Callithrix jacchus: one gene and its partners. The protein of the gene in region 1 interacts with the protein of each later gene in a pairwise test. Links are inferred from orthologs where the notes say so. Each region holds a gene or a part of one and is shown in the gene's direction. Other genes may lie near its edges. The genes, in order: CREB3L1, PRKAB2, PLP1 and FXYD3.

What was found.
Region 2: the proteins of CREB3L1 (region 1) and PRKAB2 interact in binary tests that used the Homo sapiens proteins (3 or more experiments, as listed by UniProt). The link is inferred for Callithrix jacchus from reciprocal best matches to the Homo sapiens genes CREB3L1 and PRKAB2.
Region 3: the proteins of CREB3L1 (region 1) and PLP1 interact in binary tests that used the Homo sapiens proteins (3 or more experiments, as listed by UniProt). The two-hybrid records come from large-scale screens. The link is inferred for Callithrix jacchus from reciprocal best matches to the Homo sapiens genes CREB3L1 and PLP1.
Region 4: the proteins of CREB3L1 (region 1) and FXYD3 interact in binary tests that used the Homo sapiens proteins (3 or more experiments, as listed by UniProt). The two-hybrid records come from large-scale screens. The link is inferred for Callithrix jacchus from reciprocal best matches to the Homo sapiens genes CREB3L1 and FXYD3.

Annotation. Positions count from the first base shown.
Region 1 is NC_133511.1:111,333,374-111,340,434, forward strand, and holds part of CREB3L1 (cyclic AMP-responsive element-binding protein 3-like protein 1), read left to right. Parts: intron 1-3,354; coding exon 3,355-3,454; intron 3,455-4,425; coding exon 4,426-4,552; intron 4,553-7,061.
Region 2 is NC_133519.1:7,274,277-7,281,337, reverse strand, and holds the end of PRKAB2 (5'-AMP-activated protein kinase subunit beta-2), read left to right. Parts: intron 1-200; coding exon 201-269; intron 270-1,124; coding exon 1,125-1,161; intron 1,162-2,287; coding exon 2,288-2,520; 3' UTR 2,521-6,793; downstream 6,794-7,061. UniProt on the Homo sapiens protein: Non-catalytic subunit of AMP-activated protein kinase (AMPK), an energy sensor protein kinase that plays a key role in regulating cellular energy metabolism.
Region 3 is NC_133524.1:99,824,325-99,831,856, forward strand, and holds the start of PLP1 (myelin proteolipid protein), read left to right. Parts: upstream 1-2,484; 5' UTR 2,485-2,606; coding exon 2,607-2,610; intron 2,611-7,532.
Region 4 is NC_133523.1:31,452,309-31,459,879, forward strand, and holds the start of FXYD3 (FXYD domain-containing ion transport regulator 3), read left to right. Parts: upstream 1-2,639; 5' UTR 2,640-2,681; intron 2,682-5,500; 5' UTR 5,501-5,519; coding exon 5,520-5,559; intron 5,560-7,571. UniProt on the Homo sapiens protein: Associates with and regulates the activity of the sodium/potassium-transporting ATPase (NKA) which transports Na(+) out of the cell and K(+) into the cell.

The DNA of each region.
Region 1 (7,061 bases):
AGTTTAGGATGACAGGGACCTCAGAAACATGCCCTAGGGCCGGGCACGGTGGCTCAAGCCTGTAATCCCAGCACTTTGGGAAGCTGAGGCGGGTGGATCACGAGGTCAAGATATCGAGACCATACTGGTCAACATGGTGAAACCCCGTCTCTACTAAAGATACAAAAAAAAAAAAAAAAAAGAAACATGCCTTATAGCCTTGGGCCACTTACATCCTGCCCCTCCCTGTGTTCCCATTTTTCTTCACCTGCAAGACACCTGGCAGGGCTGGTGAGTTGCTTAAGTGAGCAGATGTTTTCAAAGTGTGGTCCTCAGACCAGCAACAACCCCCAAGAATCGTTAGAAATGCTTATTCTCTGGCCCCATGCCAGGTCTACTGAGTCAGAAGCTCCAGGGGTAGGGCCCAGAACTCTGTGTTTTCATAAGCCCTCGAGGGAATTTGGATGCACCCTCAAGTCTGAGAACCACTCGTGTAGAACCTTGTTACTCAAAGCCAGTTACCCGGACAGGAAACATCAGCATCACTTGGGAGCTTATTAGAAATGCAGGCCAGGTGCAGTGACTCGTGCCTGTAATTCCAGCACTTTGGGAGGATGAAGCGGGTAGAACATTTCAGGTCAGGAGTTCAAGACCAGCCTGACCAACATGGTGAAACCCTGTCTCTACTAAAAATTAAAAAATTAGCTGGGCATGGTAGCGGGCACCTGTACTCCCAGCTACTCGAGAGACTGAGGCAGGAGAATCACTTGAACCAGAAGGTGGGGGTTGCAGTGAGCTGAGATTGTGCCACTGCACTCCAGGCTGGGCCACACTCCATTTCAAAAAAAAAAAAAAAAATGCAGAATTTCAGAACTCTCTCCAGACTTACTGAGCTAGAAACTGCATGTTCACAAGATCCTTAGGTGATTCACGGGCGCTATAAAGTTTGAGAAACAGGATTCTAGAGACAGGAGCGCAGTGCCTGGCGGGTAGCAGCCACGCAAAGTCACAGCTCTGGGTTCTTGCCCTGCTCTGCCATTTTTTCAACTCTGTGGAGAAATCGTTAAACATCTCTGGGCCCCTGTTTCTTTGTCTAAATGGGATGATAGAAACATTATCTCATAGGGCCAGGCACAGGCACAGCGGCTTACAGCTGTAATCCCAGCACTTTGGGAGGCCAAGGTAGGTGGATCGCTTGAGGTTGGAAGTTCAAGACCAGCCTGGACAACATGGCAAAACCCTATCTCTACTAAAAATACAAAAATTAGCCAGGTGTGGTGGTGCACACCTGTAATATCAGCTACTCAGGAGGTTGAGGCAGGAGAATTGCTGGAACCCGGGAGGCAGAGGTTACAGTGAGTTGAGATCACCCCAATGTACTCCAGCCTGGCTGGCAAAGTGAGACTGTCTCAAAAAAAAAAAAAAAGAAAGAAAGAAAGAAACATTATCTCATTGGATTGATAAGAGATCATGCAAGCAAAGGACCCAGCCTGATGCTTGGTATTTAGGAATGTGCAATTCATGTCAGCTTTTATTCTTCTTTCATTGTTTTTATTCATTTTCTTGAGACAGGGTCTGGCTCTGTTGCCCACGCTGGAGTGTAATGAGGCGATCATTGCTCACTGCAGCCTGATCTCCTGATTCTAAGTAGCTAGGACCACAGGTGCACACCACCATCCATGGCTAATTTTTTTTAAGTATTTTGTAGAGACAAGGTCTTGGTATATTGCCCAGGCTGGTCTCAAACTCCTGGGTTCAAGCATATTTCCTGCTTTGGCTCCCAAAGTGCTGGGATTGGAGGCATAAGACACTGCACTTGGCCTTCTGTCATTATTTTGTGTTATTTATTTATTTATTTATTTTTGAGTCTTGCTCTGCTGCCCAGGCTGCAGTGGCACAATCTCAGCTCACTGCAACCTATGCCTCTTGGGTTCAAGATATTCTTGTGCCTCAGCCTCCCAAATAGCTGGGATTACAGACTTGTACCACCATACCTGGCTATTTTTTTTTTTTATTTTTAGTAGAGACAGCGTTTCGCTATATTGGCCAGGCTGGTCTTGAACTCTTGACCTCATGTAATCCTCCTGCCTTGGCCTCCCAAAGTGCTGGGATTACAGGCATGAGCCATTATTTTTTATTCCAGATTTCTGATAGTGCCCAGCCATGAGCCTCTGGTAGGTCTTTAATAATTATTTTCTGGAATCAATTACAATAACCTGGACAACAGCCTGGTATGCAGCAGGTGCTCAACACAAGACTTTTTTCTTCTTTCCTTCATTCTTCCCCAGCTTCTCCAGGGGGATCCAGCCACTCCTCTGTTCCCTGGTTGGCCTGGAGAATCCCACCTCACCCTTCCACCCCTCTGTCTCTGGCTGGGGGTTCCTTTCTGGCCCAAAGTAGGTCCAGACCCTTGGAGCTATTTCGCCACCTGCTGTACATTATGGGAACTGCAACTCCCACATGCCCAGTTAGGTGGAGAGAGATTAATTTGCCCACTAAGCCTGTACTGAACACGTTCTCTGTGCACCTAGAAGATTCCATGCTCAGTGGGACCCAGTCCTCACCCTCAAGGAGGCCACAGTTAGTGAAGGAGACTGACATGGAAATCTAAATAAACAAAGGGTTGTGGTGAAAGCAAACACAGCAACAAAACCAACAAAAACAGCTGGGTGCGGTGGCTCACGCCTGTAATCCCAGCACTTCGGGAGGCCATGGTGGGTGGGTCACGAGGTCAGAAGTTCAAAACCAGCCTGGCCAACATGGTGAAACCCCATCTCTACTAAAAGTACAAAAAGTTAACCAGGCGTGCTGGCAGATGCCTGTAATCCCCGCTACTTGAGAGGCTGAGGCAGGAGAATCACTTGAAACTGGGAGGCGGAGGTTGCAGTGAGCTGAGATCACACCCCTGCACTCCAGCCTGGGTGACAGAGCAAGACTAGACTCTGTCTCAATACAAAACAAAGCACCTGACACTAACAATAACTACCATTTACTAGACACTCACTCCATACCAGGCACTGTGCCAGACAGGTCCTTCTTATCAGTTCAGGGTGCTGGGGGGGGGGTGCCAGGGAGGGAAGGTTAAGCCATAGAAGGCTGGCCTCTGTACAGCTGGGAGAGGGTCTTCCCTCCTCCAACTCCCTCGGCCAGGAGCATCACAGGGCAGCCCTGAGCTTCCACAGGGCGACCTGGCCAGTCACCATGAAGCAGGCCACTCCACGGAGGAGCCACACAGGAGGTGACTTTTCCTATCTTGACTGAGACGGGCACCTGGTGTGGAGGCCAAATCTCGAGCCAGCCCCCCTAGGAGGGCTCCAGGAGGCAGAGATGTTTGTGAGGTCAGAGTCCGCCAGCTGACCACTGTGCCCTCCTCAGGACCCTGCTCCAGCAGCTGCAGAAACTCCAGACTCTGGTCACCAACAAGATCTCCAGACCTTACAAGATGGCGGCCACCCAGACTGGGACCTGCCTCATGGTAGGTGTGGCCCCCTCCACCACAGGCCCACAGGAGGAGCGTTCTTCCCAAAGCCAGCTTTTTCCAGGGGTGGGCAGAGCTCTGAGGATTGGTAACATCATGGGCGGCGTCACCAGGGTACACCGTCCTGGTACCTGGTGGGTGGTTCTAGACGACCCCAGCCTCCTTCCCCGAGCCCATGGCGCCTTCTGCCTCACACCCATCCCCAACTGGTCGACACAGTGTAGATGTGTTGGTGACACCAGTGGCCCCAGCTAGGGGACAGCTGGGCAGGTTCCTTGAGGAGGCGGCTTCCACAGGCTTTGTGCAGAGAAGGGCTTGGGGAGACTCAGGGAAGAATGAACCTGGTTCTTTCTGGAACGGATGGCTGTGAAAAGGCCAAGGAAACCCCTGGAAACCTGGAAGGGCTCCCAGGGTGTGCTTCAGACCTCTTCTAGTCCCTCTTCCATCCTCTTCTGGAAATGGCCAGCCTCTTGCCACCTGGCTCAGCCCACCCCAGCCCTCCAAGACCCTGGAGCTGTCGGGTGGCAGAGCCAGACTATGGACAGGGGCATGTGGGCTCCCTGGCTCTCAGCACTCCTGCTAGCCAGGCTTTCCCAAATCCTGCTGATAACGTGATGTGCTGGTGTGTCCCCCTCCCTCAACCCAGCCCCGAGCCCCACCTGCACCTGTCCCTTCCTTTCCTGACTCCTCTACCCCATAGAGTGACTTTCCATTGTCCACTTCCCTCCTGCTTCTAGCACTGCCTGTGGCAACCCCCCTACAATGGGCTGGGATGGCCTGAGCGGCCCCTCTCTTCCCCAGAGAGGATAGGAGACCCCACGTGTAGGAGAGAGTGGTTGGCTGTAGGAGCTGTTTCCTTGGGAAAATGCTGAGACTTTTGTACTTGTTGGTTTGGGAGATAAGGGGTAGGGTGGTCAGGACCACAGCTCTCCTCGCCCCAGATCTGATGCCACTCTCTTTGCTACCAGGTGGCAGCCTTGTGCTTTGTTCTGGTGCTGGGCTCCCTTGTGCCCTGCCTTCCCGAGTTCTCCTCCGGCTCCCAGACTGTGAAGAAAGACCCCATGGCCGCAGACAGCGTCTACACGGCCAGCCAGAGTGAGTGCCCTCTTGTCCCGCCAACTCCCTGGGCTGGGGCTGCCCTGCCCCAACCCCAGTGTCTAGGCAGAAGCCAGACAAAAGAGAGAAGCCAAGTGTGGGTCAGCATTATCTCATTCTGCCTCGTCATTTTCCAGATGGGGAAACTGAGGCCCAAAGAAAGTCTATGCTTTGTGGTAGAATTGGGACTAAAATACAGCGCTCCTGATGCCCAGCCTAGCTCCCAGAGAGCTTCAGGAGTGGCTTGCAGGAGGTGGGTTTAGAGGATGACAGGAATGTTCCAGCCCCAGGTCCCATGCATTATGGTCAGTGTTTATGGGGCATCCGTTAGGCACCATCAGTATATCATGATAGGTACAGCAAGTGAGTTTCAGCTCAAAGGTCATTTCCAATAAGGTGGTGGTAGCTGCTTGAAACATTGTGTTAAGAAGGACCCTGACCCGGGCACGGTGGCTGATGCCTGTGATCCCAGCACTTTGGGAGGCTGAGGCAGGTGAATCAGCTGAGGTCAGGATTTCAAGACCAGCCTGGCCAACGTGGTGAAACTCTGTCTCTACTAAAAATACAAAAATTAGCTGGGCATGGTGGTGTGTGCCTGTAGTCCTGGCTACTTGGGGTGCTGAGACAGGAGAATCGTTTGAACCTTGGAGGCAGAGGTTGCAGTGAGCCAAGATTATGCCACTGCACTCCAGCCTGGATGATAGAGTGAGACTCCGTCTCAAAAAAAAGAAAGACTCTGAGGCACCATTCAGAATCGACAGGAAGGAGTGTCATGATCCATTGATAATGCCTACCACAGACAGAGGAAGGGTAGTGGTGGTGTGGGTTCAGATATCTACCATTTGCACAGGGTATAGTGAAGTATAGTGGTTAGGAGCATGGAGATAGCAAGTCTGTCATAACTGGCACTGCCAAGTGCTAACTGTGTGACCTGGGGCATATGTCTTAAGCTCCCTGAGCTTTCATTTCTTCATCTAGAAAATGGGAGTGGCAATTCTGCACTTACTGAGCCATGGCTGTGAGACAGTGCATGAAACAGCACAGTGTCTGTGCTTATGAAATGATCAAATTCAATCTCTTTGGGAAAAGTTCACGGAGGAGAGAAGAGCTACATCGTAGTAGCTGGCAAAGGGAGAACTGGGGTAGGGCCTAGCAAAGAAGAATGTGGATTTCAGAGGGAGAGGATCCTTCAGATGGACCCACAGAGGAACTTCCTGGCAGTCCCTCATCAATTACCAGTCACTTACCAAGAACCACGTGTCTGGCAGGGCAGGAGGAGGAAGAGGAAGCAGATAAGAGGTCAGAGGAGGGAAGATTAAGGAGTGAGTTTCAAGAAGGAGGGATATGGCAGGGAGGATGAGCTAGACATCCAGCGCCTTGAGGGGAGGAAGCTGGTGTGGGGAGGGTTAGGGGAAGAGGAAGCAGAGGTGGGGAAAGTGAAAGCCCCTCCCCGGACATGTGCAGCCTGAGGAGGAGAGAACAGGATAGTCGCTAAAGGCATGTGGGCAGCAGCGATGGGAGCAAGGTCTGGGGAGCCATGTGTCTGCTTTTCCAAGGTCACAGAAGCCACTGGAGAGAATGGAATGGAAAGAGAGCTGGGGTTGATGGAGAAAGCCACAGCTAGAGGAGGGAATGAATGAGCCCCTTGGAGGGAAGGCAGTGGATTTTAGGCCCAAGACGTGAGCTGGGCAGAGAGGAGGACACATCCCAGCAGGCAGATGGCTTTGGAGCAGGCTGGTGTGCAGAACTGGTGCATTGCACTGTTCCAGGGACCACTGTTCACACAGACTGTGAGGACATGGCTGCAGAGACACCGAGGTGGCAGATCCTAGCGCCAGGCAGGCCTGGGTTCGCATCCTCCCTTCAGGGGGGACAACTTCCCTAAGTGCCTGGAACTTCAGCTGCCTGCTCGGGGAAGAGGGACTAAAGAGACCTCATTCCCTAGAGTTTCTGTAAGATTTTAACCACTCGACATAGGTCTGTGGGCCTTGCATAATGCCTAGCAAATGTTGGGTGTCCAACAAATGTTTGTCTTGCTTCTCCGAAGGGCAAACTAGGACTTAGAATGGGGAAGAAACTTATTTCAGGTCTCACAGAAAGTAAGTGGTGGACTGGCCGGGTGCAGCAGCTCACTCCTGTGATCCCAGCGCTTCGGGAGGCCAAGGTGGGTGGATCACTTGAGGTCAGGAATTTGAAACCAACCTGGCCAGCATGGTGAAACCCCATCTCTACTAAAAATACAAAAAGTAGGGCCACGGGCAGTGGCTCACACCTTGTAATCCCAGCACTTTGGGAGGCCGAGGTGGGCAGATCACGAGGTCAAGAGATTGGAACCATCCTGACCAACATGGTGAAACCCCGTCTCTACTAAAAAATACAAAAAAAAAAAAAAAAAAATAGCCAGGCATGGTGTTGTGCACTTGTAAATCCCAGCTACTCAGGAGGCTGAGGTGGAAGAATCACCTGAACCAGGAGGTGGAGGTTGCAGTGAGCCGAGATTGCGCCACTG
Region 2 (7,061 bases), on another chromosome or scaffold:
CTACCCTGGACTGATAATTTTTCTAATTTTCTGTAATAGGATTGTATCAATGATACATACTGGAGTGGGTGCATTATTAAAAAGAGATAACACATTCTAGATCAAATTTCTCAACATCCCAAAGAGCTCTGAGGAAGAGTAAGCTGTTTGATTTGTCTGTGCATTAATTTCATTTAGTAATTTTTTTCTCTTTCTCTTAGTGTGACCCAGCCTTACTCCCTGAGCCCAACCATGTTATGCTGAACCATCTCTATGCATTGTCCATTAAGGTAAGTGGAAACCCTGGCTCTACATAGAGCTCCCTGGAATGAGAGGACAAGGGTAACATACGTTCTCAGTGGTTACTTTCTCTGCTGTTTCACTGAAGCTGAAGCTGGTAGTAATGATCAAGTTATGGAAGAACTCTCTTTTTTTAATTACTAGGTTGTTTGTTTCAAAATCTCAGTCTCTGTGACTTGGCTGGTTGTATTGCCCTCTGATAGGAGTTTTTTGCTGCCCAGTTACTTTTTGGGTGACTAGCATCTTTATACCAGAGACTTAAGTTTGAGTTCATAGTACAGGATTTCATCTGCAGAAAAAGCAGGTTTAGCTTCCAGTTCAAAGAATGCTTGAATGTGATGTTAAGGCTTTTACTTTTTTACAGGTAGATTTGAGCTACTTTCAGGTACCCCATTCATATATACTTAGGGGCTTATATGTCTCCTAAACACGAGGTAATGGAGAAATGTGACCAGATTTGCCGGGTCCCCTTCAAGTCTAGAGTCCTCCTTGGTTTTTCTGCTGCTTTAGAGTCTGAGTTGAAAATAGCCATTCTATTCTGTCTTGTTATGTCTTTGTGGTTTGGCTATTGGAATAAAGTTATACGGCTCTGCAGTTATCAAAGTAGGCTGATTATCATCAGAATCTCCTGTCAAAATACAGATTCGACAGTTCCATTCCTAGAGATCCTGAATAACTGTACCTAGGATGGGCCCTAGTAATTTTTTTAAGCTGCTTTTACTTCTTGGATGTGTAGCTGGATTTGGGAAATCACTGGTACAATGTAATACTTACAAATATATTACTGAATGGAATTTTTACAATAACCTGTGAGATAAGTATTATTTTTAACCCCTGTTTTATAGATAAAGAAACTAAGGCTCAGAGAAGGTCAAAGTGCCAGTAAGTACCAGAGGCAGGACTGAGGTCCAGCCTCCATGCTGACGTCATGTTCTTTCCTGTGTTATCATCATGCCAGGTCTTTCCAAGATGCTCTTTCTCACCTGGTCCTCATTTCCACAAAACCTGTCAAGTGCATTTTTTACCTGCCTTGCTTCTGTCATATTTAGGCTTTAGTTAGTCAACATGATTCTGGAATGTTAACCGGAGAGGCATTCATTGTGGATAGTACAGCATGGGGGGAGGTGGAAGGATACACTGGTTCTAAATTGGATTTGCTTGGCTTATTTGGGATCCGATGGATTTTGCCTCCTGTAACTGCTCCTTGGGCGTCATTGAATATGCATAGGCTTGCCACCTCCTCCTGTGGTACATCCGTAGTCTGTAACACAGCCTGGGAAATGGTGCCTCTTGCTCACTTCTTACTGGTTCTGACTCAGGTGAAGGTGTGGATGATTGTGGCTCAGCTTGGTTCTGACCCATTCCTGATTCTCTCAGATTGTTTAGGTGGTTTGGAATTGATCCATTGGACTGGGTGTCCTTCTGAAGAGGATTTTGGTGTTTACTTTGTTCAAAGATAGAGAGGGATTTTTAGGTTTCCTCTAAATCAGAGACGACTTTTTGAATTATCCCTGGTACTAAATGGAAATTAGACCTGCTTTGGGACTTGGGAATTGTTTTTTAGAAGGATTGTTTCTTTTTTTCTCTTTGTCTTTAAGACTTTCTTCTAGATGTGGATGCCAGAATATTTCTTTCTTTCTTTTCCTTGCTAGTTTTAAGCCCAATATTAGAATTTAAAGTAGGGAAGGGAGCAAGGTAGGAGACTAATATTTCTTCAGCACTCACATGTCAGAAACTGTGCCAGATATTCTCATGTAATCATCAGAGCCACCTCAATGGTAGGTATTATCTTTTGTAACAACGAGATAAAAAGACTTGGACATATTCAGTAGATTACCCAAGGCCACAAGTAGAATAATAATAGGAATCAGATTGGAACTGAAACTGATTTGACTCCAAAACCAACCTTCTTCTCTTCTGTCAAGCTGTCTCTGTTAACAGTGAGTGACTGGGAGGCGCTACCTGCTGTCTTAACTAATGAGTTGGCTGCGTGTGTTTCTTCTTGCAGGACAGTGTGATGGTCCTCAGCGCAACCCATCGCTACAAGAAGAAGTATGTTACTACTCTGCTGTACAAGCCCATCTGAAGGGATCCCTTCTTGCCTCCAAGGATTCAGGAGAAGCATCTCCGTTGCCTTTCGGGACTGAACCAGTCTTACCTAAGACTGGAAGGCTGATTTGCTTTGAGGCTGATATGTGTGTTTCAGAGCCTCTGAGTAGGATGCTCTGCTTTTGCATTTGATTGCAGACGAGAGCTTTATGAGTTCACGGAATTTATTTTAAGAAAAAAATATATATACATATGAGAAGAAGGTAAATGGAAGCCTCCTAGCCGCAGCTAGAAGTATTGTCTCTGCCTGTGGGTTTTCACCAAGACCTGTTTGGAGGCACTGCGGGAATAACTATATAGGAAGCTTTTTTCCTAAAATGAAAGAACAGCAGACTCTTAGGATCCTTGCTGGGCGGAGGCTCTATCACTGCTACCTGGGCTCTCCAAGGAATGGGATTGTGCTAGACGGCTGCCTCATTGCAAGGGCAGTCTTTCTGCATGGGTTCTCTGTATTCCCAGAGTACGCGGCACAGTCTGTGTATTGATGTGATACCAGCTGCCTCACAGGAACCCTTCCTTCTCATTTCACATTGTTCCTGGAACAGCCTCCCGTGCCTGACCCCTCGCTAGCACAAAACTCACTGGCTACGTGACTTTTTAGGGCACCTGACCCACCCCAGAGACGAGGGCTGCCAGAAGGTCTTTTTAGCCCAGCACAGGCCCAAGCCACCTGTAGTGCTTGCTTTAACTTCTCCGGAAAATACGTCTCAGCATTATACGGCAGGCAGAATGCAGAACATCTGCTCTTCTGTTTGAGTTTGGTGCCAAGGTTCAGGCTGTACTGGCAAATTCCCAAAAGTCTTCCCTCTTGGCCTGGCCCTACTTCATCTCTTCTCCCTCAGCACACACTTCTGAAAGTAGGAGTGAAACCAGGGAGTACTCTCATGTCTTTCATCCTTGAAAGATTTTTATGTGCTTGCATTTTTTTTTTTTTTAATTTAAAAAATACCTTTTCATTGATCTTAAGAGACTGCATTGGAGAATTTCAGGCTTTTGATAAATGCTTCCTCAAATTCTCTTCTCTAGTCTAGCCCTCCGTGGTCTTAGATTAATATGGCCAGCCCTATACACATAACTAAACACTGCTTTAGATAAACTGCTCAGGTTCATTTAACTCATTGAACTTGATGCACCTAACGAGTTCCCTCATTTCAAAGATGTGTTAGGCCAAGAAACAAGAGAGTATTCCTAATATCCCCAACCATGAAAAGCATCATGCTTTGTTAACTGTTAACTAAGTGTTAACAAGATCATTTTGTTCTCCGGCCTCTTCTTTTTAAAGGTGTTTGATGATGAAGTGGGGTCATTGATTTCCATTTGTGAACTGAAAAATATTCAATCGACTTTTGGGGTTCAGAGATAAAATATTTTTGCTCAAGTGGCGGGGGCTCTTCCGTTTTACAGATAAGAAGGCAAATATTCAGCACTGAAGGAGGCTAAACTGTTGATGAATGAGAGACTCCCTGACTGCTCAGATGAGCCTAGCCACACTGAAAGGGCACCTCCAGGTCAGGTTAGCTACCTCCTGTCTTTCCCATGCAAAGCGGACAACACAGTTGTCTTTGGGCCTGTAGACCTCTTGGGTCCCAGGTGTGAGAGAGTAAGGTATGGGGTTGTTGTTTTACTGGGATGCAAGTAACTAAATGCTTTGGCGGTTAATTGCTAAGAGTAAATACTACTTCAGCCATCTGAGGCCACCTTCTGCAGCGAAAGGCTTTTGTGGAGAACATTTTATGGTCCCAGACACTTGTTGAATAGTGCGCCATTTAAAAATCCAGGCCAGAGCCTGTTATAACCAACTCTCAGGATTTAGCATCTTCAGTTGTACTAGAGTTTTGTTCTTATCCAATACCCATTAAATAAGTGGGCCACTTAGGAAGATCCAAAATCTTGGTTGTTACATGAAGTTTGTTATATTCATATTTCTTGTAAACAGTATCAAAATGTAGTATCTACGTGTTCAGGTGTGAAAATTTTTACTCCTCACAGGTGTATCAGTAGAGGGGGGCAGGAAAAGAGATCTCTTCAATTTCTCTCAGGCCCAAGGCTTTTGTGAACTGGGTCTGCCTCCAGTGACAGAGGGTTTGGTGCTAGTGACCTTTAGATCTTTCTATCTGGAAATGTGCAGAGTGTCAATTTCCCATGTTCGGAGGTAACTCTCAGCCAGATGTGAAATGGGAGCCTCCCAGCTGGCATAGAAGGGAATGGGTAGGAGGAACGGGGCGATGACTCCTCAGCACTGCTCCTTTTCTATACTGCTGATGTATCCCGTGGTTCTGAGAGGCCTTGTCTCGCTCTGCCTGGAAGAGAGGGAGGGAGAGAAGGAAGTAACCCAAAGCACTGCTCATTCATCCTCGTCTGTTGATTAAAGGGATAATTAATTTTATGCAGGAGAGAGTTTGACAGATTTTGAAAATGACTAAAGGCAAAAAAATCTTTTTTAGCCTTTTCTTTGCCTGTTGGAATTTTATGGAGTCAAAGTAGGCAGAATAAAAAATAGGTCTTCACAGGGGCTGACCCTTAAAGAACTGCAGCATGGTTTTGGAGTTGTGGGGAAGAGAAGAGTGGCCGAGCTGAGGAGTTCATAGGAGAATAAAGGCTTGAGTAACGTGGAACAGAAAATGTCCTCTTTGAAACGGAAATTAAATCAGACACCACATGGTGGCGTCCTTGGATATCACTGTACAGAATTAGAGTGTAAAACCATCTTCCCTTTCATCTTGTTCCAATTCTGTTCCCTTTCCTCTCTATTCTGCTTTAAGTTCAGTTGTCAGGCAGACTTTACCAGCGTGTCAGACGTTGTCTAAAACACATGGGTTAGCCATGCTGCTGGTATGGAGAAATTCCACACCATGATGATTAGCCTCCTTTAAGCTTGGAATTGGATAGGATTTAACCATTCTAGGCCACACCCCTGGAGGGCATACCTGACCTCAGTAGTGTTGGCTTTTTAAACGTATACTTGTATGGTAGAGAAACTTTGTAAAAGAAGAATCCAAGAGAAGTTTGTGAGAATCCTACAAACCCAGGCCCATTCACTTTGCTCCAATTCTTTCTTGTCTCCTGTAGATCTAATGGGTCTGGGAGAAAAACTTTGAAAAGTGGCAGTGTTCCATGTATGCTGTTAAAGTGACATTAAGTTTGGAGAAGGGATACCTCTAGACTGGGTTTCTAGTCATCTGGAGTATGAATGAAGACATATTAACAGAATTCCCTGCTTTTAACTGGGGAAACAGGGCTTTAATAATTTTGACCTCAACTAAAAATGATATGCAATAGTCTATGTTTGTGTGTGTTTGAAATTCATTCTATTCTCAGAGATTTCTACATCCTCACATTCTAGTGATTCAGGGCATGGGCTTAACAGCTGATGTCCGGTATATTCCCGCATTATTCCCGTTCATCCTTCAAGCCCAGTTGTTGCTGTCTTCTACCAGGGCTGCTGACTCCACTTACCCACGGTATGGAGGACCCGGGAGGGTAGCAACTGGGGTCTTGCGAAACTCTGGATCTAAGCGTTTGTCTCTCCTTAAGTGCCAATCACAATTGGAGATGGAAGGACTGTGATTTCTGCAATGAACCCAGACTTTTAGAGTAAAAAGCCAAATCTTTTTTTAAATTATAAGAAGGAAAAAAAGAGAAAAACTCAAGTCTCTTACTTATAGAGTCCAATTCTTAGCAATGGAATCCTTCTGGGATTCTAGTTTGGGCTTTGTCTTGATTGGGTTTTCTTGATTGTGCTTTTAAGTGAATAAGCTTTATTACAAATTAACTTTTTATTAGTTTCAATATTAATTGGAGTTAACTTGAATTAATTGTATGTAGCACAGCACTTTTGCAGTAAGACGGGTGTGAAATACCAAACTATGGATTTTGTAGGTGTCAGGTTAAATGGCCGACGGATACCTACATTAAGTAATGTATTAGGTATTGGTGATCTCACTTCTTTTCTGTTCCCCTCCACAGAACACTTACCCAGCCCAGCTTGTGGCTTTGGGACAGCCAAAGCTCACAGCTGTTGGCCAGTCCTAATCTCTGCGTGGGTCTCACATATGAGACTTGTTTGAATTTTGGTAAATTGGAGCATGCTGGTTGGTATTACACGGCAGCATTTCGAATGAGTGCAGCTCTGTGTCTCTTGGAAAGGAGAGAGATGACTCTAATTTGAAGGGAGTTAAATATGTGAGTCCTCTTTTAAATGGTGCTTTTTGTAACCTTTAGTGCTGAGGTACAGAGCTGCTTTTCAATATTTCATATAGGAGTGGATACAGGAGTGGATTTTAAAGCTGTTCTCCAAATGTAATTTGTCACTGGACTCTAACACACCTGGAAATTATATGGCGTGACACATACAGAAATGTGGGTTTTTTCCATAAAACGGTTTAATAAAATTATTATACAGCAATAATATTTGAGTTATTTATTGATGACTGATTATATTATCAATGTCAGTTAGTCTTGGTGTCTCAGGGCCTAAATAATGCGAACTGCAAAACAACCCAATTGAAAGAGATAAATCTTAGGTGTAGGGGACACAAATGATGTCCTCCTACCTGTCGCCTTTTCTCTTCTATTTGTTTCAGGCTCTGCCAACCTTACCTGTAGGAATGCAGACGTAGTCAGTGATTTGTTTCTCAGCGGTTTCTCTGAGCTGGTTGCACATTTAGCTATCA
Region 3 (7,532 bases), on another chromosome or scaffold:
AAAATGGCTTCTGGAAGACCTGGGAAGATACCCTATGAGGTCTGCAGGGAGCCCTCAGGAAAGGTCGGCTGATGAGGTGCTGAGGCAGTGTCGGGGTGTACAGAGCAATGAGAACACACTAGATCCTAGGGAGTTGGAAACCTTAAGGCACTGGGATGAGTGAGACATGGGCACCTGGCTGGGCCCCTTTTCTGTCCCTGGGCATAAGAACAAGCATAAGAACAAGGAGAAGACAGGGAATGCGGAGAGAGAAAAAGAAGGGAACAGAGAGAGACAGACACACAGAAATGGAGAAAGAGACAGGTAACAGAGACAGAGATTGAGACTTGGAGAGGAGATAGAATGAATATTAGGGCAGTGGAGATTGAGTAAAGGAGAAGAGACATGTGTGTTAGGGGGATGTGCTTGGTAAATCGGCATCTGTGAGTTTACTGGGCACACATATTTTCTTCCCAGTAGCCTTGCCAACCACAGAGCTGCTGCTGAGAATCTAGGGGAAGCTTTGTGAGAGGGCTCAGTCAGAATTATGTCCTCTGTGTGCAGAGCTGTCTCATCTATTCGAGCTGTGAAGGATCTTTTCTCTCATCCTCTAAATTTGAACTCCCAAAGTTTGGGCTCACGCCTGCCATCTGATGAGCTAAGGGGACACATTTGGTGACTTCTTGCTCTTGGTCCTCCCCCTTCTCCAGGGCCATTCCAACAGTGACCATCCAGAAGTTTATTGCTGGCACAATCCTACAGTTGAGCTTCCAAAGCAGGCATAGTCTATGGCTGGCAAGCAGGGCTGGGGAGGGCAAGGGGCCCTAAGATCCTTTTCCATCAGTCATATGGCCTTAGTCTGATCTGCTCTGGAAAGCTACTATTATACTGTTCTGCAAGGGGCAGTATTTCCAGGGGTCCTTTCTTCTTGGGGCTGATATAAGAGCAAAGGATCTACAGTTCTAGGACGCGAAGCAAGCCTCAAACGGTGCAGGATTTGGCCTCCGGTGGGCCCACAGGGGCATCTGCAGAAGACCTACCTACTTCCTAACAGCAGAGCCCAAGCCAGTAGCACGTCCAAGGTCATAGCCCAAAGAGAAAACTGTAAGACACAATTTTACTTCTCTCCCCCAACAGGATGGTACTAGTCTCCGCTCAATATCTCCCTCCTCTTCTCTCCTCTCCCAAAGCAAAACCACAGAAAACATTCCAGGAGACCATACCTTCCTTCTCCAGAGTCTTCCAACGTGTGACCCTCTTATTATGTGCCAGCCAGTATTTTTAAAGGCCATCCATGGAAGGACGCTGGCCTCTAAGTCAAGGGAGCTGTGAAGGGAGACACGACACTGACAAGGAGCCCAGACAGACACTGCTTAAGATTCACCTGTTCTAGAAAACCCTCCCAGGCTGGTCCCATCTAGCATTGGGCATTCAAATACCTCACAATCTTTAGAAATAACTGATTGCTAAGGCAGGTTTTATATAGTATTTCCCTGTTTTTGCTGCTTAGCCATTTTTGTCTCACTGCTTCTTTCTCTGTGGCAAGGACTATATTTCGTTTCTCCTCTCCACCCTCACTGCCACCTGCTGCTTCCCTTCAACCCACTCCCTGCCTCTCGCCTGCCTGGCTTCAGCTCTCTGATGAAGACATTACATTCTCAGGATGGAATGTTGACTACCTGATTCCCTAATTGTGTTCTTGACTTGTCTCAAAGTTGATTCTCCTCCTTGGAAATCACCCACATCTTCAGCTCTGGCCTTTTCTTTAGCATAGTCTGCGAACTTGCAAAGGTCTTCTTGTCCACTTTTGGGTCTCCATTATTGCAGCTATAAAATTATTACAACGCTAGCCTTCCCCAGCCTAATCACATTCTGTTCATCGAATTGACAGCCTGCATTTTGTCTTCATGCAGTTGAAACTGAAATGGATTTGGAGGAAATTATCTTAAAAGACAGTTTTTTCTTCTCTATTGTGTTCATAGAGCTGGGTGAGGGGGAGGAATGCTTATTTTCCAAGAAGTTGGGGGAAGGGAAAGGTGGAGAGGTCCAAGGGCAACTGGGAGTGAGGTGGGGAGCTGGGGCAGATTTGGAAGGACTTTGGGAACTAACATCTAGGATTTTGACTCTGAGCCCCTCTCGGGGCTCCCACTTGATGGCTTCTCATGCTTGTACTGCACATCCCACACTATTAGACCCAAGGAAGTTTCCAGGACCTCTTCATTTTATTTCCACCCTCAATCCACATTTCCAGATGTCTCTGCAGCAAAGTGAAATTCCAGGCAAGCCTCAGGGAAAAGGAGAAACAAAGACAATGAAACAATTGGTAGTGAAAGGCAGAAAGAGAAGACGGGAGCCCTTAGAAAAGGGAGTATCCCTGAGGAGGTGGGGACAAGGGGAGGAGAAGGGGAGGAGGAGAGGAGGAGGAAAGCAAGCCTGTCCCTTTAAGGGGGTTGGCTGTCAATCAGAAAGCCCTTTTCATTGCAAGAGAAGAGGACAAAGATACTCAGAGAGAAAAAGTAAAAGACCGAAGAAGGAGACTGGAGAGACCAGGATCCTTCCAGCTGAACAAAGTCAGCCACAAAGCAGACTAGTCAGCCGGCTACAATTGGAGTCAGAGTCCCAAAGACATGGGTAAGTTTCAAAAACTTTAGCATTGAAGATTCAAGCAGACACAGGAATTCGCAAGAGAATTTCCAACTTTGGGGTTCGGGGGTTCCAATGGTTTACATGAGTCGTGATTTGGCACTTGTTTTCTTTTTAAATTCCTTAACATTCAGTTAGGTTAACTCCTTCTCTGCTGTACTGAGCATGATGCTTTATTACCAAAGAATTCCAGCAGCACGTGGAGAGTCACACACATCTCTGGAGAGAGTGCCCAGCCAGATGGATGTGGTCATGTGTCCTCCTACCCCCTCACTTCCCTCTATCTTCTCTTTTCCCTTGGTTCCAAGGCCCTGGTAACGGTTGGGTCTGCTTGCTCTCCTGGTTCTGCTGGAGGTCACTGAGCACTGTCTAGACCTCAGATGTACAAACTAATTGCTTGCTTGATGCAATCTTTGAACTACGTTTGACATCAGTAGGAAGCTGGGGGTTGGGCAAGCTGGACTCAGGCTTGGCCACGGCTGAGAAGGCCATTGCCAGGTTCAGGAAATGAAATAAAGTCCTCAATGGCTTGACCATGGGAAACAAATACGGGTAGGAGTGTGTGTGTATGTGCATATGTGTGTGTGCACATACAGGGGTGACTATTTCTAACAAATATCACAGACATAGCTTTCCTGAGGGCTCTCTGCTATGACAAGGAGGCTGCTGGGACATTAGGGCTCTTGCTAAGTTGGTGGAGTATTGAGGGCTTTTCTAGGTTCCATGAACAAAGACAGAAGCTATGAGGTTCTGGTGTTAGTTTCTACTCAGAGTAAGGTGTGCAGAGCACAAGGGTCTTTGTCCCTATGGGACTTCACAGAGTCATGTAGACATTGCTCACATTTGGCAAAACAGAGAGCAGCTTAAACACATCCTAAATGAAATGAGACTCAGTTGTCCCATGTATTCCCTATCAAATGTAGCACCGAGTAGATAGCATCCACAGAGATCAATTTGCAATTATATTGATCTGGTTCAGCCTTTAGGTGTTTCATCATGAAATACTGAGAGAACACTTTGAAGCATGTGCAAGGTAAAATAGGAGGGCAGAGCACTGGACAAGGAGTCAGAAAAATCAGATTCCAATCCCAGATCTGCTACTTATGAACTGCGTGACCTTGGGCAGGTCACTGAATCACCATTTCCTCATCTGGAAAATGGAGATAGCAATAACTACTTTGTCTATTTTCAGGGTTGTAAGAATCAAGTAACAATAATATGGAAGTCTTTGAAAATGGGCAAGATCTATAACAATTGTAAATCATGATAATACCTACTATTAGACAATAATGTGTACATAGGCTGACTCTTCCTCTTTCTGGGGTGGTTGGGTTTTCTTTGTGTGCTTGGATCAGATTCATTTGACCAATGAAGTGTGGCCAGGTGAGAGGTGAATGTTGGAGGAACTCAATTCCTGCCCTGGGTAACATCAAGAACCTTATCTAATGTCAGCCCAGCGGATTGGCTAGGTTGTGCATTAAAAACAGAGAGGGAGTAAAGAAGGATGTTGAATATTACTTCCTCAGAGGATGAAATCCCTGAGGAAAGGTAGGAACAAATAAGGTGACCACAGGGACAGTTGCCTGTTATGGAGGCTGGGTGATTGCCTCCAGAGGAAGATTGCCACAGATAAGGGCACCATTGAGGATGCGCATTGGTTCCCAGCTCCTAAGGGTGGATGATACTTGGGCCAGGTACATGTGATGGAGCAGCCACTGAGTTTCCATTTATTCAGTAATAGAGTGTCTACAATACTTTGAATTATAGACCATCTCTAACAAGGTACGGGACTGCCACTACTTCTGAAGTGGAGTGCACTGCTGTTCAACAATTGCAGTAAACACATTGTATCCTGGAATCTGGGATTGGAAGGAACTTTAGAAGTCGTCTGAACCAACCTTCAGTATGGGATTCATTTTTACAACAACTAATTAAACGTTTGTATAGCCTCTGCTTAATCACCTCCAGAAACAGGGAACTTACTACCTCAACCATATAGAATCCCTTAGGATTGGAAGCAACGAGGAACACTTCAGTAGTGTCTGCACAAAAGGTTTATGGGGAAAATGATAGCTTATTAAATTTTGCCTTGATTGAAAGGGGAATGTTCCAAGTAAGTCTTTGGGATAACGATGGAACCGGAAAGGAGCCAAAGAGCAGTAACTGATTATTCTCTGCTCAGTAACACAATGCCATTATTGAACAGCAAAACATTGTCTGTAAGCCTGTTGTCGTCTGAGAACAGTGGCTGTTACCCTGGTAACCAGACTGTGATGCCTTCATCCAAAAGTGGCTGTTTGCCAAGCAGTATAGTTTTGGCTGGCTTGGAGTAAGTGGGTGGAGCCCAGGCAAAAAGTGTAGCAGCAGAGCGGGGGTCCAGTTTTATACAATGCCCGAAGAATAACTGAATCCCATCAAAATGGCACAAATGCACCAAGAATGCCAGGATCCAAAAATAAACCAGATCCAAACCACCATGTTCATATTCATGTTCACTAGTCTTCCTGGAGACGCTGACTAACATAATCAAGTGCAGCCTTCCCCACCTGACTTCTCTCTCTGGCTGTGCAGAGCCAGAGGAGCTCTTGGAGAGCCAGGCAGATTGAAAGGTATACCCTGCTTTAGGGGGTCTTTGCCTTGGCTCTGAGCTAGGAAAGCCAGAAATGTACTTAACACCCTGACAACTAGAACTGCTCTCTCAGAGTGATCTGAGTAATAACACCCTCAACCCTGGGAGGTGGGTGGGAGGGGAAATATAGTCTCCAAACCCATTAAAGTAGAACTCCAGCCAGTAACATCACTTTTCCCCACTGCTTTTGTCTATTGTCCCGAAGCCTTGAAAGCCATCCCCTGGGTACAGCTCTTTGTCTTGAAAGAAAGCAGCAGTAGAAATGCCTTCCCTGCCCACAGTACTTCAGGTCTAGAGAAGATCAAATGAGGACAGTGACATGATCAGGAAGGGTCACAGCAGTCATCGTAGGTGAATGGAACCACTTTCCCTTCGTTTTCTGCTTTCAGAGCCTACTCAGTGCCAGACCTACTTCAGAAGCGCAGCAAGTGCTGATTGATTAATCCCTCTTGGCTACTGCAAAATGGCCCCGAGGGCTATCTCTCAGCTCTGCACTGGTCTCTGAGCTGTCTGCCAGGCAGGGCTCTAGAAAAGAGTTCCAAGGAAGAGGATAAGGTTCCCCAGATCAGCTTCACACTGTAACCAAGGAGAGAGGGGGAAATGGTGGGAGAATGACCTGAGGAACAAGGTATGGCTACTCTTATCTCTAGTACCAGTTACTTCTCTTTTATCTTCCCAGTCGTGGGCAAGGTAGAGACAATGTGCCAAGGATAAGTTTTAAGAATCAAAGTCTTACCTCAGCTTCCCAATGCTTGTACATAAATCGGAATGTGTACCTCATTCATTCTATGTGTGTGTGTGTGTGTGTGTGTGTGTGTGTGTATCTGAAGAGGAGTAGGGAGTATAGGAAACATGGTCCAGATGCTGTTGCCATGGTAATACTAAAAGGGGACCAAAGAGGAGGCTGAGATTCCTTTTTACTTAACCTTGTCCACATGACTTGACTATCCAGCAGGCTCAGATTCCCAGGCCCCAGAGGCTTTGGGACTCTTTTCCAGCACTTGAATGTGGTATATAAGTGCTGATATCACAAGGGACATGTAGGAAAGACAAAATTATAGGCAGGGCATTGTCTAACCAGGATGAGGCCAGAAGCAAAAGTCTTTGTTTGTCTCTGGCACCTCTTGATGATTATTGTTTTACTCCTAGAACCCACCCACTGATCCCCATCCATCCCTAGTACCAGTCACGGCTGCTCTAGCATTTCGGCCTTATCAACTGCTGTAGGCCCTGATCAAGGAGGCCTCTGTTCATGGGGTGAGGTTAAGGGGTGGGTTCTGGGAGGAGGGTAAGACTGTAGTGCAGATTCGAGACCTAGGGAGATGGGGCCACTTTCTCACTCAATGAGCCTGCCTGTTGTTTAGCTCTATTGTATAGGGTTCTTCTATCTCTCCCTTTGTCAGCTGGATTCAAGGGACAGGCTGGGAATTGTGCAGGGTACAATTGGTCTCTTTCTACCATTCCTTTCGATGAAAGCCCTTCCTCTCCTTCCTTTGATGAGTTCCCAGATTCACACTGAATTTCCATCATGGAGCTGGTACTTGAGGCGGGCCCAGGGCATGGGAAAGGAGGGAGGGAGAGTTGGGAGCTCTTGGCGTCTGTTTAAAGGGACAGCATCAGAATCAACACAGTCCCTTGATGAACCTGTATCTGTGTGAGTCTCATCAGTCCTGTTGATCTCTGTCAGACCCACCCCTGTGAAGAGCACTGGTGAGAAGGGCTTAAAGTTCTGTCACAGATTGATTAGACTTGTTTTGGAAGTTTGTATACAAATGTAGCCAACCATGGTCTGATATTTTCCCTTTGCTTACCTTTTGCCCACACAACTTCATTATATCCATTTTAACACTTGCTTATAGGTAGCTTTGGATTTTGATTCACAGACATACATTTGTTCTCCCCAACAGGATTGCAAGTTTTCTAAAGAAAGGGACTGGCTTTTCAATTCCCTTCTGTTTCTCCTAGTGTCTATGTCACTGCTAGAGTGCTTAATGCTTATACTGAATTCACATAAACAGAAATGAAAGGAAAACACTGGAGGGGGTTGTTATTTTTCTCTATGACCTTTCATCAAAGTCAGGCAGTTTAATCTGATTGAGTTGCATTGGGAAATGTTATTACTATATGGTTCTTTTATGCCAACTCTCCCACCTCACAGTCTGTACTTAGACTGGAAATGTGAGACTGTCTCTTGAGAGAGCCAAGGAACTTATTCTCTAGAATCCCTTCCAGCCTTCTTGATCAAGCTCACACCCTTTCAACCAGGAGGGGTTCTGAAATG
Region 4 (7,571 bases), on another chromosome or scaffold:
GTTTTGTTTGACCTGGAAAATTTTTAAAAAATCTGAACCCAATTTTTAAAATTAAACCTCTTTAAGGTAGTACATTTTCAGGATGCAAAATTCAAAAGCTATAAGAGGGCTTGTGATGCTGAGTGAGTCTCACTTCCACCCCATCCTCCAGCCTCCTAGTTCCCCTCCCCAGAAGCAGCCCTGGATGCCAATCCCCAAAAATATTTTATTCATTAGAAGTATATGCATATGCATTACGTTACCGCTCACAAACGACAGCACACTCCAGGGTTTCCCTACACCTTGTTTTTATTTTTATTTTTTCCCTTAGCAGTCTGTCTGGAAAGTACTTCTGTATCCATCCACAGGCAGTCGGGTTCCTCCAGGATTTTTAGACAACCGTTCTCCAGTTCACCCTGTTCAGGTGAAAGGCAGAGCACCCCCGACCCCCCCAGCTATCCTGCACACACCACGACTTGCTCTCGGCTGCCTGCAGTTCCCAGGCTTCCCAGCAGAGGGAAAACCATTCCACTCCCAAGACCCCCAAGGGGTTGTCCCAGACACAATCAAGCTTGAAGGGTCTGGGGAAGATGCTATCTGCCCAGACACAAAGACCCCCTTAGCTACACTGACTTGGCCCCCAGGCCTCTCCTTCCTGTTTCTATCTCTTCCTGGGGCTCTTGCTTGGAGCCCTATCCCAAGGGCCCCTCTTCCTTGTGGGGACTGACCCCTCCTTCACAGGGGTAGGAGGGAGCCTTGTCCTTGTCTAGGGAAGGCCTGGGATTGACAGCTTGCCCCAGGGAACCACAGAGAGAAAGGGTGTAGCTCTGGGCAAGTATTGCCCGCCCCATCCCTCCACGATGAGAACTGGGGTGGGGGGGGTCCTTCTTTGTGTCCCCAGCAGGGCAGTTCCTGGCAGAGCCTTGACCCGAACCCCCTTTTCCTGTCCTGTGCTTCATGCTCCCAGCAGCTGCCTCTCCCTGGCCTGGCCCTGTGGCCCTCCTCCCTGCCCCCACGATGGTGTTGGGGTCGCCTGGAGTCCAGCTGGTGGCCAGGGCAAAGCTTCCCCTTTCCTGGCCCTACCCCTCCCCGTGACCCCAATCCTCCGCCAACCGCTCAAAGAATCCTTGTTCTCCATCCAGCCCCCAGACAAAAGTCCCTCTGTCTAAGAAGGCGGAATTGAGGGGAGGGGGCACCCCCAACTGGGACCATGGGGGGGCCTGCACAGACCCCATCCGGAAGGAATGCCTGGAGGAGGAGGAGCAGGAGAGGGAGGAGGGAAGGGGGAGGGGGACTAGCACAGTGAAGGGGGCCTTATCTGGATTGGGAGGCCGCCGCCCCCAACAGCGCCCACTCTGCAGACCCAGCCATCTGGATCTCACTCAGCACCCATGGAATGAGCCTGGCTGGGAAACTTCAGCCTGATGCCTGGGAGCCAGTTCTCATTCTCCCCAGGGCAGGGAGCGGGTGATGACCAGGCCTAAGGTCCCACAGTCCCCACCCCAACCCCTCCCTGCCATTCCAGCCACTTCCCTGTATCCACCCCGCCCCATCTCCTGACTTTGGTCATCCCAGCATCTTCTGCTGACCCTGAAACTGTACCAGCAAGCAAGATGTGGCCTGGAGGCCGGGCGCGGTGGCTCACGCCTGTAATCCCAGCACTTTGGCAGGCCAAGGCAGGTGGATCCCGAGGTCAAGAGATCGAGACCATCCTGGTCAACAAGGTGAAACCCCGTCTCTACTAAAAATATGAAAATTAGCTGGGCATGGTGGCGCATGCCTGTAATCCCAGCTACTCAGGAGGCTGAGGCAGAATTGCCTGAACCCAGGAGGCAGAGGTTACGGTGAGATCGCACCATTGCACTCCAGCCTGAGTAACAAGAGTGAAACTCCATCTCGAAGAAAAAAAAAAAAAGATGTGGCCTGGAAGGAAACGTTAAGTTCCCCACAGTTGCCAGCAATCCTTCCATCGGGCAAACACACCATCTAAGGAAAAGAAGTGAGGTCGGGACAGCAAGCCTCACCTCCCTCCTCCCTCCATGGCCCCGGAGGCTCTGTCCTTTAAAGACCCTGGAACCCCCAGGGCGAGGGCCTGTAATCCCAGCACTTTGGGAGGCTGAGATGGGCAGATCACCTGAGGTCGGGAGTTCGAGACCAGCCAGAAAAACATGGAGAAACCTTGTCTCTACTAAAAATATGAAATTAGCCAGGTGTGGTGGCACATGCCTGTAATCCCAGCTACTCGGGAGGCTGAGGTAGGAGAATCACTTGAACCCAGAAGGTGGAGGTTGTGGTGAGGTGAGATCGTGCCATTGCACTCCAGCCTGGGCAAGAGCAAAACTCTCCAAAAAAAAAGACCTCCCAGAACCTTCACCCTTTAAGGTCCTCTCCTGGGATCAGGAGACTGGAGAAAGCTCCTTCCTTAATTTCAGGGGCCGAGTTCCATCCCATCTAATTCTCCCTCTCACCTGAGGCTGCTGTGGCCCTGGGAATTCCAGGGAGCCATCTGATGCCTGAGGCTGGGGAGGGGGTGAAGCTGTCTCTTTAAGAGCAGGAATGGAGCCCCTGGGCCTTAGGGCATCTAACTTGTTTTCTACCTGCCCAGGTTTGCTTAGGGCGTGGCAGCTTCGGATAAAGGCAGGACTCCGCCTGGCAGCCCCGACTTCTCCTGGAACCTCTGATCAGCGTGGTGAACCCCACAGGTGAGCAGCTGGGGCCCTTTCCTCCAAGCCCTCCTTGGCTCTGCTCCTAAATTAGGGAGAACCTACCCACCCACTTCCCCACCACATAGAAGCTCAGCTGTTAAAGAGCATAAAATCTTTTGAGGTGCATTTCTAGAGCCAGGAGATAGGAGAAAGGCCCTTCCCCTAATGTCCCTTTCCCCCCATGCTCCTCAGCGACTGGTTGAGCCAGCTGGGGTGAGGGCAGGACCCGTAAGTGTGGTTGGGTTGTCTGGGAAGACTGAGGCCTGCATGGATTAGGGGTATCTGGGTTGGGGATATCCAGGTGAAGAAGAGGGGGTGCCTGGGTAAGCAGGGGTATCCAAGTGGACCAGTGGTGTGTAAATGGACTTGGGACATCTGGGTGGATGAGTGCTGGGTGGACCCGGGGAGTCCAGGTATTGCGGGGAATCTGGATTCTGGAGACCTCTAGGAAAAGAGGATGGAGCTGCTGGGGGAAGCTGTAAATGGGGAGTTGCTTGGGAAGTTTGAGGTACACAGAAGGGGCGGGACCCTTCTGCTTGCCCTTGAGGATGAGCCCCTTCTCTCACGTCATGGAGGAATTGGGGTTAGCAGAGGGCAGGTTGTGGAGATGGTCCTCAGGCGGGCATTGGGACCTCGTGGCCAGGAAGAATCACAGCAGGTAGACAGAGCGCTAGCTGCAGGGCTGCCTTCCTCTTCTAACCTGCCCGCCGCCCACATCGGTTCAGGAGCAGCTGGGGCCTCTTCAAACAACAGCCTGAACAGGGAATATGAGGGCAGACCCAGCTCCCGGCTCCCCGAAGCCTCTGGAAACGTGGGGCTGGACATTGTTATGCAGAGGCTGGGTGAGGCAGATACCATCTGTCAGTCTCTGCTGGATGATAACATGGGAAGGGGGAAGAGTTGGGCTTCACAGGCCAGAGGTGGCTTGGAGGAGCCCCTGGAAAGAGGCTTAAGAGGTGAGACTCAACAGCCACGGTGACAGAGCATAGGGCTTTAAGATGAATTTGCAGGGTCACAGGATTGCAACTGCCAAGTGGGCTAATCATAGTGCCCCCTGCACGAAGCTGCAGAGATTATATGAATTAAAAAGTGGGAAGCTGAGAAAACGCCCTGTGGGTAGACACTCAGTCTGTATCTGCGTGGATTACCAGGATTCGTATGGTCGTGGGTGACAGCTTCGGACCACAGGCAGGCCACCTACCACCTGTGCCCATATCCACCATGTGGTCTTGCCCACCCACCCTTGCCAGCTCCCCCGCCAACTCTTCTGGGCGTTCTAAACACTTCGTGGGCCTCAGTAAAGCTCCCGAAGTCTCAGGCTTTCTTCCCCTCCAAACCCCCAACCCCCCCCAAAAAAGGAAAAGAAATGGTTGCTCAAAGTAAAACTGTGAGTCCAGCATCTGGAATTAACCGGGAAGCTGAGAGGATTCCCAGGCTCCGGGGTGGGCGGGCAGAGGGAGGAGTCTGTGCCAACCAGCAGGGACCACCCACACCACTGGATGCTGGCACTGCCGTCTCTCAGCATTTCTGCCATCTGTGAAATGCAGACTAGGGGATGACCTCGGGGTTGCTGGGAGGTTAGGTGAGTGAGAAACAGCAAGGTCAGTGTGCACCCCAGGGCGAGGGGAGGAAGTGCCAGCTCTTGCTATCAAAATTATAACTAGGCCAGGTGCGGTGGCTCAAATCTGTATTCTCAGCACTTAGGGAGGCCGACGTGAGCAGATCACCTGAGGTCAGGAGTTTGAGGCCAGCCTGGTCAACATGGTGAAACCCTATTTCTATTAAAGATACAAAAATTAGTGGGGCATGGTGGCACTCACCTGTAGTCTCTGCTATTTGGGAGGCTGAGGCAGAAGTTTCAGTGAGCTGAGATCATGCCACTGCACTCCAGCCTAGGTGACAGCGCAAAACTCTGCCTCCAAAAAAAAAAAAAATTATGGTAACTATGTGCTCAGCAGTTGGGCAGGGGCAGGGCAGGGGAGGGCATGCATGGCATCCAGGGGCTTGCTGCAGCAGCCTTGCAGGCCTGTCTGGGAAAGAGAAAGTGTTTGCTGCCTCGAGGGCCTGGGGCCAGGTCAGGGGCTGGGCTGGGGACCCAGGCTAGGCAGAGCTAGGGCTGGGACTGGGAAGGGCGAGGGTGGGGATGAGGTGACGGGAGGTTCAGGGGAACATGCAGCCAAGCCGAGATTGTTCCCCTCTACCCGCAGTCCCAGTCTCAAGTCATCTCCTTCCCACACCCTGCCCTGGGCAGCTTGAAGAACCTGCTCAGTCCACAGCCTGAAGTCTGCCGTGTCCTGGCAGGGCCAGGCAGGCTCCGAGCTGTCTGTGGAGACACTCCCGGGAATCGGGCCTCCTGCCACCTGGCTCCCAGCACCCCACTTCCCCAAACACACAAGGCCCTTACAGCCCTAAGTTAGGAGCAGCTGCTGGGGAGCCAGGCCTGCTTTAAATCCTGCTTCCTGGCGAGGGCACCTAGTTTCACCTCTCAGAGCCTCAGTTTCCCCATCTGTTCAATAAGGGTAACAGCAGGCAGTGGCACCCTCGTTTGGTGGTGGGCGATTCACGGAAAGCCTGAAGTCGGTGTCCAGGGAGTTATTACGGCTGCTCCCGAGTCAGGCCTGGGTTCCACCCAGGCCCCGCTCCCACGGCACGGCTGCTGCTTACCTCTCAGCCCAGCGAGTCCCAGTGCCAGCCTGTTTGCCCGGGGTGAGCTGCACACCCTGCCTGAGCAGCAGGGGAGGAGGTTTGGGGAGCCACAGCACAGGGCCAGCATCCCAGTGGCTCTGCTAAGGCCAGACCTCCTGCCACCCCTCTAGGCCAGCACAGCACTCTGACATGCAGAAGGCGACCCTGGGCCTGCTCGTGTTCCTGGCAGGTGAGTACCCATCCCTCCACTGCTTTTTCACCTGGATCCCCCAGCTCGGAGGGCAGCCAAGCCTCTGTCTCTCTCCTGTGCTTTTCTACCTTCCCAGGGAGGTGGTAAATGTTAGAACAGCATCGCCTTGAGGGTAAGAAAAGTCATACTGGCCGTATGCAGTGGCCGTATGCAAGTCAGGAGGCCTGTAATCCCAGCTCTCTTGGAGGCCGAGGCAGGTAGATCACCTGGGTCGGAGTTCAAGACCAGCCTGATCAACATGATGAAACCCCATCTCTACTAAAAATACAAAATTAGCTGGGTGCAGTGGCTCTCTCCTGTAATCTCAGCTCTTTGGGAGGCCAAGGCGGGTGGATCACGTGAGGTCGGGAGTTCAAGACCAGCCTGACCAACATAGGGAAACAAAATTAGCCGGGTGTGGTGGTGCATGCCTGTAATTCCAGTTACTTGGGAGGCTGAGGCGGGAGAAATTGCTTGAACTTGGGAGGTGGATGTTATAGTGAGCTGAGTGTGCACCATTGCACTCCAGCCTGAGCGAAACTCTGTCTCAAAAAAAATAAAGAAAAGAAAAGTCAAACCAGTGATTGCCAGGGAGACACAGAAGAGCTGGTTGCACAGCTGCAAAGTCACCGTCTTCCCCATTCTCTCACTCTCTTCTGTTTTTTTTCCTGAGTCTGTTGCTCAGGCTGGAGTGCAATGGCACCATCACAGTTAACCACAGCCTTGAAATCCTGGGGTCAAGCAATCCTACTCTCTTAGCCTCCTACACAGCGAGGACTCCAGACACACAACGCCATGCCCAGCTTGTTTTTAAATTTTTTGCAGAGATGGGGTCTCACTATGTTGCCCAAGCTGGTCTCAAACCCCTGGATGAGTTTGATCCTCCCACTTAAGCCTTCCAAAGTGCTGGGATTACAGGTGTGTAATCCACCAGCCTTGATTGACTATTAAACAGAAATAAGGGAAGCTAGAAGAAATAAAACGACACCTTCAAAGCACTGAAAGAAGATAACTGCCCGGCCAGTTCTCTTGTACATTTTCTTTTGTTTTTGTTTTTGTTTTTTTTGAGACGGAGTTTCGCTCTTGTTGCCCAGACTGGAGTGCAATGGCGCGATCTCGGCTCACTGCAACCTCCGCCTCCTGGGTTCAGGCAATTCTCCTGCCTCAGCCTCCTGAGTAGCTGGGACTACAGGCACGCGCTATCATGCCCAGCTTATTTTTTTGTATTTTTGTAGAGATGGGGTTTCACCATGTTGACCAGGATGATCTCGATCTCTTGACCTCGTGATCCACCCGCCTCGGCCTCCCAAAGTGCTGGGATTACAGGCTTGAGCCACCGCGCCCGGCCTTGTACATTATCTTTTTTTTTGCTGGCTAACTACTGCATAACCTCCCTTACTCTTTTGTTCATAAAGATACTTTGATCTGTAAACGTTTTCTAAAAACTTGAAGGAGCAGGCTCGGCTGGGTGCAACTGCACCTTTAACACCTTCCAACATACATTTTTTTCCTTATTTTTTTGAGACAGAGTTTTGCACCCAGCCTGGAGTGCAGTGGCATGATCTTGGCTCACTGCAATCTCTACCTCCCAAGTTCAAGTGATTCTTCTGCCTCAGCCTCCAAGTAGCTAGGACTACAGGCGTGTGCCGCCGTGCCTGGCTACTTTTTGTATTTTTAGACGAGACATGGTTTCATCATATTGGCCAGGCTGGTCTCGAACTCCTGACTTCAAGTAATCCTCCCACCTTGGCCTCCAAAAGCATTGGGACTACAGGCCAGAGCCACTGCACCCAGTCCTTTTTTTTTTACTTTTTCAATGCAGCCTTGACCTCCCAGGCTCAACGGATCCTCCCACCTCAGCCTCCCAAAGCTCTGAGATTACAGGCACACTTTTTATCCATTACGTAGGGCACGACTAGTATTCTCTGCAGGGTAGTGATATAAAATCACATTTTTAATAAAGTCTATTTAAGTGTATAATAGTCACTTTCAATGATGTGCAAACACCAGAC